Arabidopsis thaliana: one gene and its partners. The protein of the gene in region 1 interacts with the protein of each later gene in a pairwise test. Each region holds a gene or a part of one and is shown on either strand. Other genes may lie near its edges.

The links.
Region 2: the proteins of ERF9 (region 1) and HB21 interact in binary tests that used the Arabidopsis thaliana proteins (3 or more experiments, as listed by UniProt).
Region 3: the proteins of ERF9 (region 1) and TOE2 interact in binary tests that used the Arabidopsis thaliana proteins (3 or more experiments, as listed by UniProt).

What each region holds. Positions count from the first base shown.
Region 1 is NC_003076.8:17,804,314-17,808,581, reverse strand, and holds ERF9 (erf domain protein 9), read right to left. Parts: upstream 2,186-4,268; 5' UTR 1,841-2,185; coding exon 1,238-1,840; 3' UTR 1,041-1,237; downstream 1-1,040.
Region 2 is NC_003071.7:682,120-686,684, reverse strand, and holds HB21 (homeobox protein 21), read right to left. Parts: upstream 3,051-4,565; 5' UTR 2,855-3,050; intron 2,397-2,854; 5' UTR 2,384-2,396; coding exon 1,451-2,383; 3' UTR 1,189-1,450; downstream 1-1,188. UniProt on the Arabidopsis thaliana protein: Putative transcription factor.
Region 3 is NC_003076.8:24,205,576-24,212,718, reverse strand, and holds TOE2 (target of early activation tagged (EAT) 2), read right to left. Parts: upstream 5,031-7,143; 5' UTR 4,567-5,030; coding exon 4,034-4,566; intron 3,897-4,033; coding exon 3,871-3,896; intron 3,782-3,870; coding exon 3,751-3,781; intron 3,646-3,750; coding exon 3,558-3,645; intron 3,485-3,557; coding exon 3,339-3,484; intron 2,966-3,338; coding exon 2,877-2,965; intron 2,749-2,876; coding exon 2,558-2,748; coding exon of another isoform or gene 2,435-2,557; exon of another isoform or gene 2,424-2,434; coding exon 2,310-2,423; intron 2,141-2,309; exon of another isoform or gene 1,958-2,140; coding exon 1,652-1,957; 3' UTR 1,625-1,651; exon of another isoform or gene 1,258-1,624; 3' UTR 976-1,257; downstream 1-975. Other genes in the region: AT5G60130 (AP2/B3-like transcriptional factor family protein), read left to right, coding at 1-503, 588-848.

The DNA of each region.
Region 1 (4,268 bases):
CGACTAATATCTGCATATAAGAATTATTGATCTTACGTGATTTATCTGCAGTCAATTTAAAGTTTTTGTCTTAATTCTAGTGTTTCTTGCTTTCTGTGGTTTGTTGGTGAAGTGTGTTAGTAGTTCTATTTGAGTCCTATGGTCGTGTTGGATTTTTATTTTCATCCATATTGGTTTGTTATTTGCTTATCTTTGGTGCCTGGTCTATTCGGATTTATTGGTGGTTCCGACATTTAGATATTCTATAGGGGAACCTTTATGAAAATCTCTCTAACTTTTGTTCAATAGTGTTTAGATGCGATCCTTTTTAGTACTTATGATTTTTTTTCAACAAAATTAATTACATCTCAAAAGAGTTATTACTAACATATAATATAATTTTATCTCTTTATTTAATTTTTATCAGCGGTATATATATTTCATCTTTTTATTAATAAAATTTTAGATGACAAAAATAAAACCAAAACATAATAATTAGACGTAAGAAAGCCACCCTAGCCAAAATATGTTTGTGGTTTAAAAAAATTGAAAGCATAGGAACAAAACAGATTATGGACGGCTAAAGCACACGTGCCTCCCACCTGACACTCATGCCATCATCCCCATCTACACGAAACTCGAAGATTGGACTCATGATGCTACCACTCTACTTTTCAAATACATTTTAAAAAAAAACTCATAACTCACTACAGTTTTTTTACTTTTGAATTTAATTTTCTTCCTACACAATTCATAGATGAAAAAAGAATTTTACATGTCTAATTTATAAACCAAACCATGAAACCATAATTCAATATAATGAGAAAACTAATGAAAACGATAACTACTTTTTTGTGTCATGATCATCCGATTTTTTTATTTTTATTTTTGGGTACTCTCCTATACTAAATTGTTTGATGTTGACAGACCATCTAAATGTTCGATGTTTCTTGGTTTCATATTCCACATCCATTTAATGGAGTGATATCTACTACCTATTTGATACATCAACCAACCATCATGTCATTTTAAGACATTTAAGAAAAAACATCAAAAGTAGAAAAAAAATATCAAAAGGAGATATTTGATTAGTAATTAATTACATCCACGTAATTAGGGAACCATAGGAGATTTCTGAAAAAAAATTCCTCTTACTTAGCCAAAAACATAGGAGATTTTTCTTTTTCTCATCTACTAAAGAAAACATTAATTATTTTCCGGCAATGTAAAATACAAATTATGAAAAGAAGAAAAAAATCTAAACGTCCACCACCGGTGGAGCTAGGTTAAGATCCAGGTTTAGTTCTCTTCTCGGTTCAACTTTTACGGTTTCTCGAATACCAATACTCAACTCGATATTAACCGGATCAAACCGAACCGGACAAACCCGAGAAAGCTCTGCTCTTAACGAAGCAGCTCTTGACGGATCGAAGAAAAAACCAGCAGAAGCATAACCACCGACGACTTTACGCTCCCGGTGACATGCAAACGGAAATCTCTGACGCGTCATCTCACGCGCCGTCGTCACCGTCGTACGGTTGACGTAAGAATCGTTCTCGCCACCGTCGTTAACCGTAGTAGACTCTCCGGGAAGAGGGAAATTAGTCTTTGCTTTGGAGCCACGAAACTCTCTAGCGGCGGTGTCGTAAGCTCTTGCAGCTTCCTCCGCCGTGTCGAATGTCCCGAGCCAAACCCGGGTTTTCTTTCCCGGGTCACGGATCTCCGCCGCGTATCTACCCCATGGACGCTTCCTCACACCTCTAAAGTGCACTTCCTTCCGCATCGTCGTCATCGTCATCGTCTTCCCTCCGCCGCCTTCACTCACGGCAATGCTTCTACCGTTCGCCTGTCTTGGAGCCATTGCTTATAAAAGAAGAGATATATTCTCGTTTAGATAGAGAAGTGACGTTGTTTTTGGTTTAATTTATAAAGGAAAAGGTTTTTGGTTTAGAGAAAGAGAAAGAGACGGTCAACGAGGGTTTGACTGAAAAGCGCCGCCCAAAAAACAGACAATGTGAGAGGTTTTAATGTTTTTGTGACGGCTTTTTGCCTTAACGTCCCGTTACTGCGGCGTGACTTTGCGTAATTTGATTGCTTGATCTCACGCTCCTTCATTAATCTACATGACTACCACGCTCTCTAACGATTAAATGAGTTTTACATTAATATGAATTTCCAAGCCTTATTTTAGTACCCACCAATATGAATAGCCTTTTTTTTTTTTTTTTGTCGGCCCAATATGAATAGCTAATAGCCACGGTTCTATACTTCTATGTTGACAATGTTGTCATTTAAATTTTGTATAGAGATATATTTATGTACAATGTTTCGAATGAAATATGTAGTAGGTGATTTAGATATATGGTTTGATAATATGTGAGTAGGTAAATGTGTCAATATCTTTTTTTAATAAATGGTTAGCAGCTTAAGAATCCAGTTTATTTTAAGAATCCAATTTGTATCAACTTAATTATCATTATATGACATATCATATTGCAAAAAGTTTTTTCTTTTTTTTTGAATCTATTGCTAAAAGATTTTGATTTGTTATTTAGATACATGGCATACAGGTTGATACACAATTTTATTTACTTTGGGAGATTTCGTTGATTTCCTGTTTTAAGAAATCAACAACAATCAACTTTATTGATGAACATTGTTTTTTTTTTTTTTTGAATAAAATGTCAAATTATATTTAAAAGAAAAAATATACTTTTTACATCAGCTTTTTTGATATTTTGATAATAAGAGAAATAGAGCTAGATCAAAAACAGAGTAAATAGAATTGAGAGAGCAAAAACAGAGTCTTCTTTCTTAGAGGATGCTATGGACGCATGTCAAACCATACTTGCAGCCCCTTCTCGAGTCGAAGATCCCCTTTCTTTTTGATTGTCGATAGCTGGTTTCTAATAGTCTTGTCTATCTGTCGGATGAGGTTTGAAGCTGAACGTGACTTCTCTCCGTGACGACGAGAATTTCTCTCCCTCCAAATGGAATGAATAGAGACTTGGAATGTGTACCTGGATAAGAAACTTTGGATGCGATCAGGCTGAGAATCAGATATGTAATTCACCACAGCAGACCATTTTGTGGAAAATCTATCTTTGTACACATTCTTTGCGATTGATGTCCAGATTTCAGAAGAATAGCAGCATTGGATATTGATGAACATTGTTGTGTAACAGCTGTAGAGGATTTCATATATGTAATATATGTTATAGTTAACTCATTTAACTCGATAAATAAAACAAATTTAGAATTATATTAACTTTTATTGAATAAGTATTTTACTTTAACACATGAATAATGGATACGTCTAACGTTATTGTCAAATGTTAATCCACACAAAAGTCACAATTTTTTTGATCCTACAACATAACACAAAAAAAGAGAAAAAATGGTATTTGAATCCCGTTACGTTACAGATACACGTATGTATGTTAGAGTATCTTCAGTGAATCTCTCAAAAATGAGTATTGGAGTAATAAAAAGTGATCTGGAGGGAACACCATAGTAGATTATGAAGCTTCAACACAGATTTAACGAGAGCTTTAACTTCGAAAATGAGTCACCTAAACCACCGCTTACAACAACGAGAAATAACTATTTCTATGTCTCCTCAGCAAAGTTCCTTATATGATTTTCTTGTCCTTAAAGAGGTATTTTCTTAAAACATTACTTTGAAGATATCTTCATAGGCAAAAATCTAGAAATTAGAAATAAAGGATGTTTAAAAATATAAAATTTAAGGTTTGCTAATGCTGAACTGTGAAATTAAAACCAACAACCACAACAAACCAAACCGGAATATCATTTAAACCAAATTAAAACTAAAGGGCGTTCAGTATTCGGATCGAATATTTCGAGTTTGTGTATTTCAGATTTAGAAGTTTAAGACCCGTTCGGGTATTTTAAAATTTTAAACCGTTCGAGTTCAGGTTTATTTAAATATTAAAATATCAAAATTTTGTATGTAAATTTATCAAATTACTTGAAAATTTCAAAAACTCTCAAAACAACACGAATAGTTTTACTTTAATATATCCAAAGTAACCTAAAATACACAAAATAACTAAAATATCCAAATATCCAAATATTTTCTGTATTTAAGTATGAATATAAATAATATATCAAATATTTGAGGTATGTTTGGATATTTGTTCAGATCGGGTTTGGGTTAGAGTTTTTCGGGTTTTGAAGTTTAGGACCCGTTGAATATTTGAAATTTTTGGATTTGGATCAGGGTTTTCGGTCGGGTTTGGGTTGGTTCGTAGGGTTCGATTATTATG
Region 2 (4,565 bases), on another chromosome or scaffold:
AAATAAAATATTTAAATAAATTTATTGAAAAATTTATTGAAAAATCATGTAATATTTAAATAAATTTAGTAATAGTACAGTAAATATGTAAAATAAAATCATATATAAAATTAAATAATAAATTTATCATTAACTTATAAATTAAAAATTGAAAAGTTTACATTAATTATTTAATAGACACATGATAAATGTTAAAGTGATGATGTATCGATCATATGTAAAGAGTTGGATAATTTATATATATATATATATATATATATATATTTTATATTGTTATAGTGCTATAATGCTATGTCAATCTTGAAGGAGATAAAAATATATTTGAATAAAATGACGTTTCAATAACAAAATAATAGTAATGGCAATCAATAAACTATGTCAGTTAATTGAATTTTTATCTTCCACGAAATACGCAATACGCAATTCATTATTGATGTTTTACTGAAATCGAGTGATAAACTATAGGCATAAAAAATTATACTACTATAAAACAACAAGTGAAAATGTTACATTTAATATTACAATAAATGAAACATGTGATATCACAAGGAACAACAACATCTTAAAATCGTAACTCCATTTTGATGCATGACATATTTTATCCCATATCACATTACACGACTTGCAATATGCCAAGAAGTCACATAAAGTAAATGCACATAATTGTTCAAATAAAAGAAAAGGTCCATAAATGAGTTTACTAGTACACCAACCAAACATTTACTCAACCTAATACGTCATACATATTAGGACTTGACTTACACTCGCCAGGACAATCTCCAACTCTCTCCATTGATAGAAATCGTAATTTATTGCTCTCTTTGTTTTCCGTGCAATTTATTTTTCGATCATGAGAATGAAAATATTTTTTCAAACTAGAAAACAAAATAATAGAATCAAAGCAAGACCGGATGTTTAAAAAACAAGACAAATCAAAAAAAAATATTTTGTTAAATCAAAACAACGACAAAAAAGAAACAAGACAAATCAAAACAAGACCGGCGTAAGATTTAGGTAACTAGTATTAATTTTGTTATGGACTTTGTATGATACACTTCCTTTAATAAATATCAGAATTCAAAAAACAAAAACAAAAAGAGTTACCTATGAGAATCTAAAATTCTGCTACTCACATAAATAGTAAACGTGACAAATGATATCACGAACTACAAAGTCTAATGATTCGAAGTAAATAATAACAGTGCACATCCCAATGCATTGGTTAAATCGCCAAGAATTTTCTTAAACATACATTATAAGAAAACATCAAAAACTTATCTTACACGCTCCAAAACCAAGATTATAGGTACCCTAATAAAACACATGTTTATAAAGCTACCTAAACAATGATTAGCCGAGAAAGGAGAAAACATTAACCATACGATAAGAAAGTACTTAATTAATTAAGTAATCACATGAGTGAAGTTATATAACAACAATCTGAACTTAACTAAGGATTAGTAGAAGCAAGATTTTCAGTAATGTCGTTATTACCAGCAGAAAGGTCGACATTGTTACTAACGTTGTTGCTCTTCTTGGAGAGATTTTGTTTGTTGTTGTGCATCCAAACTTTAAGAACTCTTCTCCTAATTCCAATCTCTTGACAAAGCTGTTGAACAACAGATTCCTCTTGTCTCTGAATCTTCCAACCAACTCTTTCCGCAAAACTAATCATCTTCTCCTTTTGCTCTTGTGTAAACTTTGTCCTAAACCTTTTCTTCTGATTATGTCCGTAACTATACGGTGATGGTGGTGGTGGTGGCTGCCGGAATGTCAAGCTTCCTCCGCCTTCTTCCTCCATAAGATCCTCTGACTCTGAGTTGGATCCAGCGGTTGTAACGCCAATAGGCATTATCATTTGTTGTGGTAATGGTGATTTGATCATCTTGTGGTGGAACATGAGTTTTCTCTGCTGCGGAGGTGGTTGGTGGTGGTTGAGGTAAGGGGAAAAGAATGTTTTCTCTTCACCTTCGGTTTCTCTTCTATGAAAGTTTCTATGGCAGTTGCAAACTGAGCAAGTGAGAGCTTCAATGGAACCTTCTTCACCACTTGGCATAAACTCTCCACAACCATCAATGGCATTGCCTCCCATGGTAGCTGCATGGTTCTTTAGGCATTCCTTGTACTTTATCACCACAGGCTTCTCTTTCTTGATGTTGGTAACCATGATGTTGTAACCCACATGATGATGATGAGAATGATCATGATTTTTACCAAGACCATTACTATTTGAGGAGACTAGTAGTGGGTTTGAAGTAGTAATGTTGAGAGATGATGGTGCAGAATTGGCATGATGATGATGGTTCATGTTCCCATGCCCACCTCCACTATTACCATAACTAGTGTTTATTGGAATAGGATCTTCTTGACTTGCAATCTCCATTCTTTTGATCTATCTGCCAAGGAAATAAACACGATTTTATATTTAAAACTTTTTTTGGGTTTTGCAAAGTGTTTCTTGGTTTGGGGACAAAGAAACTAGTTAGGAAGAAAAAAACAAGAGTAAAGATAATTAATGAGTAAAATTCAAATGATTAAGCTACAAAAAGGCAAGAGCTTTCTTCACTACTCATTAACCCCATTTTTTTAATTATTTCCTCCAAACAAAAAGAAAAACCCTAATTTTAGAAGGTCCATAAAGATAGAGAACAAAACGAAAAAGTACAAAAGAAAAGAAAAACTTATTGCAAGCCTGCTTAAGCAAAAGCTGACAAACCCACTTGAGAAAGAAAGGTCTTATTCCAAGTGAGAGGTTGATGATAATCAAGAAGACAATCTTTATTGTATCACCAAAACAAAATTGTTCTATTTAAACCAAATGAAAAAATTGACTGAAGAAGTTAAGAGCACATACCCACAACCAGAAAGAGCAGCAAACTTTATCTCAAAATGAAACCTTTCTTGAGAATAACCACAAGGTTCTGAGAATAGAGAGAGGCTAAGGAGTTTAGAGATTTAATTAGGGTTTTATAAAGTGATAGACTTTGAAGAAAGAAGATAAAGAGAGAGAGAGAGAGAGAGAGAAAGAGAGAATTGCAGGTGGGTTTTGGATGTGAAGGCACTTCTTAAACTAAGGGCTTAGAGTATTAGTAGTGAAAGCCAATAAAGCATGAGAAAGACACATGAGAGCCATAGCCATAGCTAATTATTTCCTCACTTTTCTACAGACAAAGAGAAAAAAGATCATTAATTAATTACACCTAGTTTTCATTTTATTAATTCATATATAGGATATTTTATTCAATAATGTCTCTACCAAATTAAAATTTGGGTGATAATATATAGACAAAAACAATACAATTGTGATCAAAATATGGAAAAGAAAAAGTGTAGCTAAATTATTTGAAACAAAAAAAGCTACATCATTTAATTTAAAATTTGAAGAAACAACAACAATCACTAAATTAGACTTTATAAGATAAGTAGTTATTCATTTTTATATACATTTTTACTCATGAAATGTCATTTTATAATATTGATATATCGCAGTCATTGATGAATTGAAGGTTATATTGAATATAAGACCATCCTCATTCTTCATTGGTGATACTTTGAGGGTGTCTTTAAATTAAAAATAATAGAAAAAGATAATTTAATGTTTTTAATTGTGTAATAGTGTCTTTAGAAAGACATTTTAGATCTCTAAAATAGAAGCTGTCTTTAATTTAATTTTAATTTATTTTTGAGATATCTACAAAGGTATGAGTAATGTGGATGCTCTAAGATTTTCATATTCACCCAAAACAAATTATCAGTAAAGGGAAAGAAAAAAAAGAAGAGAGCCAAGAATTAGGATTATGGGAGATTGCTTGTCTTGCACTATCAGACATCAAATTTACAACAGTGTAGAAACGTGTCAGATAATTAGTGGGAAGAGTATTGAAGTAGATAACAAAGAGAAAGTCATAATAAATAACAATATCTCATCTTTGTTCCAAAACATTAAATAACTAAAAATTTGGTAGTAAGGTATAATAATAATATTTTTTACCATCTTAAAATTTAAAAGTGTGAGATTGATACTAATTCAAAACGAAAGAATGTTCTAAACATTACTATAAAGCCTTAACTTGTTAAGCTAGTTAATTAAAAACACATATTGTTCCTTTACCCTTCGGCCTTCGCCATTAATTATGTCACGTATGATATTAGCTTCAAGAGGTTGTCATGTCATGCTTGTGAATTTATATGATTTACTTGAAGTTACTATTAATTATTGGTCCTACCAAATATGTGCACTTATATACCATGATCATCCGTTTTCTGGAACATACAATTGTGAGAAAGAATCAAAAGATAAACAATAAAATAAAAATATCATAATCAACTGATAATATAGTTACTGAAATATATTCATAAACCAAAGTTTGTTACGAGTTTTGTTAAGACCAAAATCTCGATTATTATTAAGTTTTGATAATATAAAGTTTTTGGTTTATATTGCGGGCTATCAGTGTTGTAAAATTAGACTCTATGTTATAGATGATATATGAACAATTGCTCTTGGGTGGCAGAATTGTAAATTTTGGCCTAAAAGTATATATAGTAAGTCTTGGTAAATAGAT
Region 3 (7,143 bases), 6.4 Mb from region 1:
TGGTTAATGGGTGGAAGAGGATTGTGAAGGACGAAGATCTCAAGGGAGGAGATTTCTTAGAGTTTGAGTTTGATGGCTCTAGTTGTTTCCATTTCTGTATCTATGAGCATAGGACAATGTGTAAAAAGATAAGAAGAAGTTCAGATCAAAGCGAGGAGATCAAAGTGGAATCTGATAGTGATGAACAAAATCAGGCCAGTGATGATGTTTTATCTCTTGATGAGGATGATGACGATTCTGATTATAATTGTGGTGAAGACAATGATAGTGATGATTATGCTGATGAAGCTGCTGTCGAGAAAGATGATAATGATGCTGATGATGAAGATGTTGATAATGTTGCTGATGATGTTCCTGTTGAAGATGATGATTATGTTGAGGCTTTTGATTCTAGAGATCATGCTAAGGCTGATGATGATGATGAAGATGAAAGACAGTATCTGGATGATCGTGAGAACCCATCTTTTACTCTGATCCTTAATCCGAAGAAGAAAAGCCAACTGGTAAGTAAAAACTGAATGTGAAAGAGCTTTTCATTTAACATCGTTGGGTTGTGAGTTTTTATGATGTTTTTTTTCATAAAGCAGCTCATCCCAGCTCGGGTTATCAAAGACTATGACTTGCACTTCCCTGAGAGTATCACTCTTGTCGATCCACTTGTGAAAAAATTCGGGACATTGGAGAAGCAGATCAAGATTCAGACAAATGGTAGTGTGTTTGTCAAGGGATTTGGCAGTATCATCAGAAGGAATAAAGTGAAGACAACGGATAAGATGATATTTGAGATCAAGAAGACTGGTGATAATAACCTGGTTCAAACAATCAAGATTCACATTATCAGTGGATGATTATTTATATCTCTCTCTCTCTCTCTCTCTCTCCATCTCTCTGTCTTTAGTTACGTGTTTTGGAGTTAAATCAAGATTATTGTGGTGTATTGAATTAATGTAAGAGTTTTTAATTTCTAAAACTTATCAGATCTATACAAATTTATAGTCTCTCAAGTCTCAATAGCTTTCTTCATTCATACATATAGAATGCATTGTACTTTACGCTGTTCATATTAATATCAGAGACATTATAGTAAAATGGCAAATGGGTTTGGGTTCTGTTTTGGTATTATCCCTCAGTTTATGTTACAAATCAAAAGCAGAAAGATAAATCACACAATGACAATAAGTACAACAGATCTTGGGAGAATTCAGCGTCGTTTTGGCTGGCCTTCCAACTTATTCCAACCTCAGGGCTGTGTAGAACCTGCACGTTCACATACAAAGTATGTTATTACGTGTAGTATTGTAGGATCTTAGGAAAACTATTGCCTCAAATATGTGTTTGAGATTGACAGAGAAGCAGAAAACAGGAGGGTGATAATACTACACAACTTGGAACTCTTCCTTAGTCTTCTTCTATTCGCTAAGCATTCATCATACTTTTCATGTTTCCATCAAGATTCATATGAATACAAACATCTCAAACTCTTTTTCTTTAGTGGTCTTCTATCAAAATTTTTTTTTTTTTTCTTTTGGATTGTAAACGTAACGTATAACAGGAAGAGGAAACTACAGCTTGTGTGCTGAGCCAAACGATGAGTTGAATGTTGTTGTTTCCAAGAAAGTCTTACCTTGAGTTATGCGGAGGAAGGAGGAAGCTATGGTGGTGGTTGTGGGCGGTTCATGAGATTGTGTTGGTGCTGAGATATGTAATCAGATGGGTGGATAACATAGAGACCGGGCTGATTCAGATTGACGAAGGGCTGAGAAGGATGATGAATAGCTGTGGATGAAGGAGGGCGTGTAGCTGAGAGTGAGAATCCTGATGATGCTGCATTTGAAAACAGTGGCGGTGCTGTAGCTGCTACGGCGGTCCCACCACTGGACTGATCATGCCCTTGCCATGTCCTGGCTGGGAAGCTTTGATGAGAACGTAACATAAGCCCTTTCTCTGGTGTTCTTTCCTGGAGACAAGAATTTAACTTTTAGGACAGAAGATTATTCATTCAAATCTTCAAGAATATCACAACATAGAAGAAGAACTAACAAGCAACAACATAGACCTGTTCTCAAAGGATATCAAAGAGTTGAGCTCAAGTACTTAACTGATCAAATATCACAACAGTAACCACTTGATGAACATCTAGCTGAATTTCATATCACACAAATTACTCATAGGTAGGGTAAAGTTCGATAAATTTAAAATTGTCATTCTATTTCATATTGTATGTTAGTTCTGGACAGAAGGTAAAAATTGTGAGGCAGTGACAAACAGTTGGATATAACGAGATGTGTGCTATGGTATTTACTATTTACCATGGGTGAAAAGAACGCAGAAGGAAGGGCATGCCGGTTATTAAGATGGTCTGAACCCCTCTTCAAGAAATTGAAAGGCGTATCACATGCCGCTGCAGCCATGTGGTTCTCCATCTGTGAGTATATCAAATGAAGAGCAAGAAATTCATGAATAAATGAAAAAACATGAGGGCTCGAGCTAGCAAAGGAGACAGTATCTTTGAGTTCCAGATTGCTATGACATATCGACAAAGAAACATTTGACTAACAGTTGCAGCAAAACGCATATGAAAGTAAAGTAAATCATATTTGGTGCACTGAAGAAAAAATTGCACCATGGTGTTCCTTCCACATACGGAATTGTTAGGGACATGGTGAAGCCGGAGGGCCCTATCTTTTTGCTTCGGACCATCTCCTAGTGAAAGAGAGATTCCCAAGTTGAGGTCGAGCTTAACATTAGCTAAATAATAAGATCAGGAAAACAAGTTAGTCGTAGCTTTTCAAATATTGAGCAGAGATATCAATGATGACAGCAAAAGCTGCATAGCATCGACCAGTTTAACAAGCAAGGAACATCAATTACATTACCTGCCTCGGGAATCATTCGGGATGCATGAGGCTCAATTAAGGAAGCAGCTTCCCTTCCCTTCCATTGTACGGCTGCCTTGTCACAACCCCTAATTCCATAAGAATCTGAGCAATTAGTCATGAATTTTCCTAATAGATCAATAATTCAGGATAAAAGACTTCCTCATAATGTAATTTACAACCATCACTAGCGTACAGCTCATACTCAGATGACAATCATCCCAAGATAGATATAAATGTCTCATAGCCATCAAAATCTCTATATATAACTCATAATCACAAACGGGTCTTCCTGCTAATGGTTCTAACAGAAGCCCTTTTCAACTAACGAAAAATTACCAAACTCTTCATCTGAACCACTCCACTCTTTTTAGCAATGACTGACAACCACATTCAGACAAAAACACAAATAACATAGCATTTGTAAAAGCCCATACTTAGATCCCAGGAAAAGTTAATTACATGTTTCCATGAAGCTGCTCCATTTGAGCTCCCCACCCGCCAATCTTTTGCAAAGCAACTCCTTGATATCTAGAATTATTCCTTGAGAAACCAGAGCTCTGTCGCCGAAGTACTTGCACAACTTCCTCTTTGGAAAGATTCGCCATCTGTAAAGTTTGAAAACCAGATAAGAACAAATCAAAGCGTACATGTCTTCATTTGTACATCTGTAATCAAAACCTGCTTGAGATCCTCTTCATAATCGCCAATAACGAAATTGATGTCAGCTTCCAGACCCCGGAATTTGACAGCAGCTCGATCATACGCCCTACACCAACGAAAGTTGAACTTAGGAAACAATTGTATCATAACGAAAAAACAGTTGAGTGATCAATAAGATCAAACAAAAAAATATCATTTCCAAAGGCATTACCTAGCTGCAGCATGGGCAGTATCAAATCCACCTATTGAATTCAAAAGTTAAAGCTTTTATTAGAGAACTAAGATCCCAGCAGAAATCAGTTCACAGTAGTACAGCCATTAGAATCCATACCTAAATAAACTTGTTTACCGCAATCCCTGCAACCATGAAAATTGACAAAAAAGAAACTTGTAGATTAATACAAAATCTAAACCAAGCTCTTCCATTTTCGACCAAAGATCAACAACTCATCTAAGACCTATCTAAAAGATAAATCAATCAGTAGTAGATATACCAGATATGCGATTCCCATCTGCCTGTCCTCCGATAGAAAGTGACGCCTCTATACTGAGAACTCTTAGACCTAGGACCTCTCCTGCTTTTCTTCACCGGCTGTGATGGTGGCTGCATCACCCGTGAAGCATCGCCACCACCGCTCCCGCTACCTATAAAGTCTCCACCTTGTTTCCCCCTCTGGAAGGAAATATCAACGGTGCTCCTTGAACTTTGAGCGCTCGAATCCATAAAGTTCATGCCTTTAGCAACAGGAAAAAACTCCTTAGTCATCATCACAGCACTTCTTTCATCATCATCTTCTTCTTCTTCTTCTCCTCCTCCTTTCAGTATCTCAAATTGAAACTTGACCGTTCGTGTAGAGCACAACTCATCTTCACCATCTATACAGCTAGAAGCTTCAGCATTAACAACAGAAGAGTTCGACGTCACCGATTCATCCATCTGATTCAAAGAAACCCCTTTAACAGTAATCGAATCTCGTTCGTTCTGAGTAGACTCGGTCGAGTCGACGTCGAGATTGAGATCCAGCATCAATCTCAAAAAAGTCAACAAAAAAGCAAACAAAACTCTGAGCTTTCACAACAACAACAAAAACTATTTCTTCAAGCTCTTACTTACACATTGATCAATAAATTCAACGATCGCCGTCGATTTGAAATAAACAGAGCTCATAAATCACATTACATAGGTGAAAATCAGCACGAGTATGGAGAAATCAAACGGAGATTTAGATTCTGAAATCAATCAAAAACACGACGGAGGAGGAGAAGGAATAATAACCAAAGAGAAAGAAGGAAAAAGCTCAATCACTAAGGAGAGAAATGAGATTGAGGAGACATGGAGATGAAGAGTTGAGTATTGGTCTATGGGGATTTGAAGAGACAAAATAGCTATCGCCGGACGAAAGAGATAATCGTCGGCGATTAGAGAAAATAAAAAGAGAACGGGGAATGATGATGGGACGTAAGCCTGTGGGTTAGTGGCAACAAAGGAACATTTTAACATTTATTTATTCCTTCCATCTTTCTCGGCAATTTGATACCGGTTTTGCCTGTTTCCGGTTTGAAGTAAAAACGTGCTACTTGTTTTTGTTTTATTAGCTTGGTTTAAATTTATGATTAGTGCTTTTACAGTTTTACTATGATAAATTTACGGTTTAAACTGTATGTGTTAAGCTTTTCTGTGATTTCTTTACCAAGATAAGTTATTAAATACAGTATTAGTACTAAATAGATCTGTTAAGGCCTAGGGACAATGAGGTGCATTTTGTTCATGGAATGAGGATTTAATGGATGTGTTCATCTTGGTTAAATCAATTTGAAGCGTGTTCTTCGAAACATTTTGTAAACACATCTGAAAATCATCAAATTTAATTGGGGTTTCACTTTTTATCCTTGAACAAACTCAACTAAAGTGATTTAGTAATTCAAATTTATAGAATGAATCAAACGAAATTCGTTTTTGTATCCTATATAGTATATCTTATTATTAATCTGCAAACAAAGATTGGTAAAGAAAAGCGAATCTACACTATTATATTCACAACTTTGAAGACACATAAAAACCAAAAAACACTTTGAAGTCACATATTCATAGCTTTGAAGACAAAGCATTTGTTTTCATTTAATGGCGGGTCCTATATTTGCAGCTACGTCCTCCTCACAAACAAAAATCTGTAAAGACTTAAAAGAGTGAGATAGAATAATATGACTTTTTATTGATTTATATGGATAACAAGTATCCAACCAACGTAACAAATGTGTCACATGTAAAAAAAAATGTGTCACATGTTAGAAAAAGGTGTAGAAGCTAGCTATAATCAACAATTACATGCATAAAGTAACAAAAGTTATATCATTTTAAGAAGTTGTTATTATTACAAAAACGAATGTGTATGGAAAATAGTTAAAGATGATGGGGAAAAAAATCACTAACATCAGGTTTGATAGCTTTAGTTTTTCTTACTGGACATAGTGATGAAATTTTGTTTTAATTTCTAAGGTTTTGACACATTAATTACTATTGAAATTGAATGATGTATGTTATCTTCGCCTTGTTTGTAGCCAAGTTTTAGTAAGGCCTTGAATGAGTGTGGTTTTTAAACTAGTTTTTGGTTTTAATTTTTTCTAAAATCTATTTTGTAGCCATTCAAGATTTTGAGAAAACAAGTTTTCCTAAAATATAGGAAATCTAGTTTTTGAGTGTTTTAACAATTTTTCAAAGAAAACCAAAATCTATGTTTTGGGAGTTTCTCTCTCAAAAACAATCGATCACATTTTTTATTTTATTTTTAGATTTGTTTTGTAAAAAAAATACTATCCATTAACATAAAAACCAAAATCTAAACAAATTACCATTCAAGTTTTTTAAGAAACTAAAATCTACACCAAAAACAAAAACCAAGAAAATCAAAAACTAAAAACCAAAAACCAAAATCCAAAATCCAAAAACCATTTTAAAAACTACAAACATTCATGGCCTAAATAAAAATGAAGCATGTGTTTCCTAGTTCCTACAATATCACATTGTAAAAATCTATCAAGGCTAGAGAAAATTATCTCTGCATCAACTGTGTCTCAATTTTCTTTTAGATTTTCATTGAATGAATAGCTATAAGTAGAAAAAAAACACATATCCGATCAAACGTTGATAACACAAACATATTGTATCAAATCTTATGGTATCTTGTATTCATTAGTATTGTCTAAATCTCTAAGACTACTACATAGCTTGAGAGCAATGTGATACAAAGAGATCAACAAAGAAATGGATAGGTTTCCAAAATGGATAATTTCGAAAGTCTAAAACAAAATATATTTTGAGTACAAGAAGACATAGGAAAGAACAAAAGCCAATAAAGGGGGATTCTTTTACAATCAAAGGAAATTATTGTTTATTAAAAATAGAAATAAAATGTACGTAACAACGTATTATGTTCTTAACACAGGTTACGGGCGAAAAAATGAAAATGACCTAAAAATATCTATTCTTTGTGTCCATACGAATCTCTTTTTTCTTTGGAAATGTTTATTGAGTGGGGTAGGTCAAATGAACATTCCGACTGGTTTTAGCCGGTTGCCAAAACTTAAGAGTGTCAGAAAAATCTCG